2 linked regions of the Xenopus tropicalis genome follow. The protein of the gene in region 2 purifies or fractionates together with the protein of the main gene of each other region. This does not show direct contact. Links are inferred from orthologs where the notes say so. Each region holds a gene or a part of one and is shown on either strand. Other genes may lie near its edges.

What was found.
Region 1: the proteins of anks3 (region 2) and nek7 purify together in Homo sapiens (affinity purification with mass spectrometry; 3 studies listed by BioGRID and IntAct, with this or other methods). This does not show direct contact. The link is inferred for Xenopus tropicalis from reciprocal best matches to the Homo sapiens genes ANKS3 and NEK7.

What each region holds. Positions count from the first base shown.
Region 1 is NC_030680.2:111,188,311-111,192,070, reverse strand, and holds the start of nek7 (serine/threonine-protein kinase Nek7), read right to left. Parts: upstream 2,203-3,760; 5' UTR 2,115-2,202; intron 1-2,114. UniProt on the Homo sapiens protein: Protein kinase which plays an important role in mitotic cell cycle progression. Required for microtubule nucleation activity of the centrosome, robust mitotic spindle formation and cytokinesis.
Region 2 is NC_030685.2:20,812,109-20,814,984, reverse strand, and holds the end of anks3 (ankyrin repeat and SAM domain-containing protein 3), read left to right. Parts: intron 1-381; coding exon 382-468; intron 469-1,693; coding exon 1,694-1,776; 3' UTR 1,777-1,784; intron 1,785-1,873; 3' UTR 1,874-2,292; downstream 2,293-2,876. Other genes in the region: glucagon receptor, read right to left, coding at 2,464-2,535, 2,636-2,677. UniProt on the Homo sapiens protein: May be involved in vasopressin signaling in the kidney.

The DNA of each region.
Region 1 (3,760 bases), on a different chromosome or scaffold from region 2:
ACCGGGTACTCGTTTGTGGGCGTACCCACCTGGAAATGGATAGAGGAGTGGCGTCTCTGTTCCTAAGACCATCGAAAATATGTGTTTTCCAATGGTCTTAGGCGACCCTTGTGAAAGGGGTCCCAAACCACAGGTTGAGAACTGATGAACTAGAAATAGTGTCTGCTAATCTAGCACTTTAATATGCAAGTTTCTGAAGCAATATGGAGTTAAAGGGAAACTATGCCCCCCAGAATGAATATGTTATGTATATGTTAAGTGACCTATTAAAGAATCTTGCCAAACTGGAACATATATATATATATCAGTAAATATTGGCATTTTACATCCTTTCCCTTGATCCACCATTTAGTGATGGGCTGTGTGCTCCTTCAGAGATCACATGACCAGAAATAATGCAATAATGTTTGTGTGCACTGTGAATCCTATGATCCCAGGAGACGGCCCTTAATTCTTAAAGTGGCAATTTCCTATTTAGGAGTACCCAATGGCACATACTACTAAAGAAGTATATTTTTATGCAAATGGTTTATTTAAATGAAGCAGGGTTTTACATATGAGCTTGTTTATGCAATATATGTTTATAGAGATCTACATTGTTTGGGGGTATAGTTTCCCTTTAACTATAAACAAGGATTTCCAAAGCTAAATTGCCAGTTCCTGTAACCAACTGTCTGCATGGATTACACAAACTATTTAACATGTCAGAGGGAACAGTCTTAAAACTTCTCACAATATAAGCCAAACTGAATCAGAAGTGTTTGAAAGGTGCCCAATGAAGGAATTGGCAGATATACTGTAAAAAGTCCAATGGTTGTATATTGGCCAATGAAGGAGACCATTTTACACCCTATGCACTCTTTACTTGTGACATTTCCATTTTTCAACCATATATTGTTAGCTATTCTCTATTTATCCACCTCCTGTATTGAAGGAATGAAGAAGAATTCCAAACTGAAATTTGTTGCAAAAAAAAAAAATACAAAAAACCTTAAAGCAAGAAACACTGAGTAAAGTACAAAGTCCTTTCCAGATACAACTACTATAGAAGCACAGATACAGTTGGCATGTAACATCCAAGTATTTATTAATTCATGTCTGCAACAAAGGCTGAAGTATTATGCCTGTTTTGTGTGTTCAATGTACACTGAAATTTGCCCTTCTACACATATATAACGCAGAAAGTGTGAACTGAATGAACAATGTTTCTAGAATGCGGTTGCTTTCATAATATTTGCCCTAGATTGTGAATGCCTCTCAGTTCAGTGTGGCTGTGCAGATAAAGAGCTAAGTTTCACTTCGTTTTTGTACTTCTACTGGTTATGCAAGGTAGTATTATAACAGGTGTGGTGGAAAAGGGGGGGCATATGCCCAAGGTAAATATACATTCAAATAATTTCTACTCCGCTACTAATTTATCCATGGGAAGTTAAAAACCCATCTGAACAAGGTCTACTTTACAAAATCAATAACTCTTAAACATAAAATATTTATTACTGCCCAATACACTACCATTAAAACAAATTATATATATATACAAAAGCAAGAGTGGAGCACACCCTACAAAGGCTCAAATGCCTTGGGTCCTGGCAAAATGAGGAAATATAAGGACAGAGAGCCGCACGCAAAAGGACTTAGTGATTAGTGAAAAAATTTATTTGAAAAAAATCCAACGTTTCGAGTACTGACTGTACTCTTCTTCAGGGACAAACCAAAAAACCTACACACCCATGTCTATAACACACTTAGGGGCATATATATTATTGATCAAACCAGTGGCTCGAGGAGGTTTCTCAGTAGTTCGATCTATTTTAGAATTTGGTAAAAATTTCCAGAACGTCGAGTGTTTTTATTGACTTGACACATTTATCAATATCTGTGTCAGTCAAATTGTGTTTGACTGTTTTGGACTGTTTTTGAACAACATGCTGCAATATGGAGTAGTATCTCTGCTCAGCACCTGTTAGATACAAACTGCGCGCAGGCAGAATGGATTCGGACATTTATTTTGCTACAGACATACTTGCTCTTAAATGTGTAGTGAATATTATTTTTGACTGTATATATATATGTCAGTCAAAAGATGTAAGATTGAATTTCAAAAGCATACTTACAAGACTGCTTCTTAGGCGTAGACTTCTATTTAAGCTATGGTTAAATATAATGCAGACTGTTTTTGGTTTCATTTAGCATGTATCAGCCTTAATCACCGCAAAGGTCATTCCACTGCTAAAGGGGAAAAGATGCAGCCATTAATATAGATTTTGGAAATAAGAAAACAATAATTCTAAATAATTTCTAATCCTTTTATACCTTAGAGAAATAACTTTACTTGAAAGATGGATGCAATGCTCTGTGAGGCTATAATTTTATAGTTATTGTTACATTTTATTACTTCTATACAGACCCTCTTCTATTCCAGTCTATTATTGCAGAACTCTGGTTGCTAAGGTTATGTGGACCCTAGCAACCAGATACCTAATTCCAAACTGAAGAGTTGCTGAACAAAAACTAAAATAAAATAATAAAAAACAATTGCAAATTGTTTTAGAATATCATTCTCTACATCATATGTTAACTTAAAGGTGAACAACACCTTTAATGGAAAACTATACCCTCAGAATGAATACATAACCAACATAGTTTATATTATGTTAAGTGACCGATTAAAGAATCTCGCCAAATTGGAATATATATATCAGTAAATATTGCCTTTCTACATCCTTTCCCTTGATCCACCATTTAGTGAGGGGCTGTGTGCTCCCTCCGAGAACGCATTACCAGAAATAATGCAGCTCTAACTGTAACAGGAAGAAGTGTGGAAGCAAAAGGCAGAACTCTGTCCGTTAATTGGCTGATGGGGCCTAGCATGTATGGGTGCCTTGGCTTGTTTATGTGCACTGCAAATCCTATGATCCCAGGAGGTGGCCCTTAATTCTTAAAATGGCAATTTCCTATTTAGGAGTACCCAATAGCCCAAAAAAAAGTAAAAAAGTATATTTTTATAAAAATGGTTTATTTTGGGGTATAGTTCTCCTTTAAGGTTATTAAAAATGGCAGACAAGAATGTATCATCAGCCACTGAGCATAAGAAATTGTTTAAAAGTACTTAGATACAATGGTTTTATCCACTGAAGTAGAATTAAAGAGAGTTTCTGTTCCCATGTGGATTATATTTTATCCGGCCTGCTAGTGGCCTGTTTGCCTAACCAGAGATTACTTTGTGTAGTGGGTTAAAAAAGTTTAATCCCAGTGAGTTCAAAAATTACTTTCCCTGTGTGCCAGAGCCCTAAAGGGGATAGTGGGTTGTAAAGTTTCTAAAGAAGCAGAGCAAATTTAAAAGTAGCCATTATAACATAAATAAAGAGTAAGTAGACCTTTTTTTTAAATCTCTAATATGACTCTTTACAGCCCCCAGAATAACATACCTTTCTCTCTGCACTCAGTCTCATGCAGATTCTGTACCACAAGCAGCTGGACTGCAGCCCACTCTGCTACTTCCTAGTCTAGTGTGAAGCTCCACCCCATTTTCTTTGCAGAGTTCTCCTTCTCTCTCTGATTGTGAAGATGGTCGAAGAGGTGTCAGAGAGAAAAGAAAAGTTCAGCAAATGGGGGGGGGGGGGGGGGGGTAGGGTGTGGAGCTTCACACTAGACTCTCAGTGGTTTTATGAAATTCTGATGATTTTCATCCTAATGTTTTTATTGTTACTGATTATTGCATTTTCCTTACAGGGACAACTGGAATATTACAAATAGGACT
Region 2 (2,876 bases):
ATAGTGCAGAAAACAGCAAGCAGCATAACCATATAAATACCCCCACAGAATGTGAAATAGGATGTTCCTCACATGCATCCCCTTGTTAATTATTATATTTAACTCATCATTAAATGCCTGCTCATACCTCATAATTAGCCTTTGAGTGCCGCAAGGTTTGCATACATTTGTATGTTTGGCACTAGTCTGCCACAGGGCCTGTGTATAAGAATAGGTAATTGCCAAGCAGCCATCTGTGTAGAACTAGCTGCCTGCCACAAGGCATGTATGTTAGACCTATGCCTATACAATATGTGCAGAGTCTGTAAATATATGTGCGTGAAGGCCGTCTGTCCTATTTTATATATACAGTATATATCAGTCACTTATGCTTTGGTTCAGGCCTTGAAGGGATCAGTACGGCTTCTGTGAAGTCCATGTCAATGGTAGAACTTTCCACATCATTGGAAGAAATTGCTGCAACATTAGGTAAGATACCATTGCCTTAAAATGATAGAAACGGACCGTTCATGCATATTTACAGGGGACATATAACCCACTCACATATTTTGATGTAAAATTGCTTTAATAGTACTCTTAAGTTTACTTAAATTGTTCATGCTATTAGCATTTTTTAGCACCCTCTGGTGTTTAGACTGGGCAAGGGCAGGACAGAGATACATAAGCTTAAAGGGCACCTACCAGGGGAATTTTTTTTCCTCCCAGAGGCAGGGGCTTGCTCAGTGTGCACGTGACATCCCACACATTCTCATAATCAGTAAACTGTGACAATAAAGACCATACAAGCGGATTTTTCCCTTATATGGCCACCTTAGGATGGGGACATATTGGGCTGATCTGATCATTTGGACTGAAGGCCAAAAGATTGGCTCATAATTGCCACTATGCAAGCCATCAGATCAAGGACCATATAAACTCGCAGATCCTGTCTTCCATCCAACAGGAAAATCAGACCTGCCTGGTAAACATCTCGCCAATTTTCTGCCAGATATTGTTGGCTTGTTGTAGGGCCCTATACACGGGCCGCTAAGCTGCCAGTTTTGTCTGTCACCAGTTTTTATTGGATTGTATTTGGCCATCTTAAAGCCAAACTGGATATATATATCTGTAAATATTGCCCTTTTACATCTTTTTCCCTGAGGCACCATTTAGTGATGGGCTGTGTGCTCCCTCAGAGATCACATGACAGGAAATAAATGTAACTGTAACAGGAAGTAGTGTGGAAGTAAAAGGCAGAACTCTGCCCATTAATTGGCTGATGGGGCCTAGCATGTATGTGTGCCTTGGCTTGTTTGTGTGCACTGTGAATCCTATGATCCAAGAAGGCGGCCTTATTACTCAAAATGGCAATTTTCTATTTAGGAGATAGTAGTACATACCATGGCGGTGGAAACAATTTTGCCTCCGATACATGCTTTTTAACTTACTACATCCTCTTTAGTTCTGTCTCTCCTGTCATAGAAAGCAATAGAACTGGGTATGAAACCTTCAAGAGCTGCTCCATGCAGTCTATTCTGCCTGTTCCACACCCGGACAGAACAGCAGGTGGCGCACTGGTTGCACTTTTATGATATTAGCAGTGTAAAAACTGCTGTTGTTGTTGTTATCGTTATTAAAACAAATGTAAAGTTGCAGAAGTGCTCAGGAAATTGTCATTCTCTGGGTTTATGTCACATTTAATCCTTATCTGCAGGGAAATCAACAAGAGCAGTACAGGAAAACCTGGAGAAGCTGCGAATGCCAGACAAGGGGAGACATAAATGGCCGGATCCATGATCCGTAAGGTAGGGTTGTAACCCATCTCATTCCAAAGTACCAGTCTCCTATGGACTCCAGACAGTTTGAGGCTCACTGTGATCCCTTTATCTTTCAGTCACATCTCTATTGTTCTTAAGACGGCGGGTGAAGTTTTTCCACCCCGAAGATGTCGGAGCGTGTTGATCACAGTGGCGGCGCCTCTCGCTTACAGCGCCCTCTTCAGGATATTACAGGGCACAGAGGACTGGGAGACAGATCTGCAGATTCAGCGATATTCTAAGATGCTTTCCATCAGCAACGAGAGAGCAGGGTTTTTAATAAGACATAGATTAGGATTATACATGCAGGTTCCCCATAGGGAGAGGGGATTAATGATTTAAAGCAATAAGTACCTGTGGCTTTTAAAGGGGAACCACGTGACATTGGTTAAAGCTTTTATGAGAAATGGGATTAGTGAATTTAATACTCTGCAGGTGGCAGATTTTAAAGACCTATTTTTATCCTCACAATAAAATAAACAAAAAAAACAAAAGACAAACTGGTTCAAGTTCCATTTTTATTGCAACCCTGCTCCTCCTGTGCGTCCCTCTGGTGTCAGGCACTACATACAATATAGACCATCCCCGTGCTGCGCCACAGACATTGGAGAACCCTGCTTTACTGCGGCGTTGTACTTGGACTCGGCAGCTTGGATTGGGACTGCAGTCATCGTGGGCAGACGAGAGCTTTCCTGTCTGCCTGCCAAAGCCGCCATTTCTTGTGAATCTCTGATTTCACCTGAAAAGCAAAAAATGTTATGGCAAATAATATGGCAAAAATGAAGGAGTGTTGCAAAGAGCTTTTCATCCAAGCCAGACAACTGGAAAGGGAAACCTACCTCTTTATTAGCAAAGCAATAGAGCACAGCCACCAGGAAACCCTGTGAGAGACAAGAAGACAAACCAGAGGGGATTTTGGAATTGAGGAGAATATTAACTGTTATATAACAAATAGACATTTTGGAGTTACGGTAAACACTTTTCTATCACACGGACGCTATTATTGGCCCAGAGTCCAGGACCTAAAGTTGCTAACAGTGTCAAGTCTCTGTCTGGGGGCCCTGCCAACAAGTAAAATAA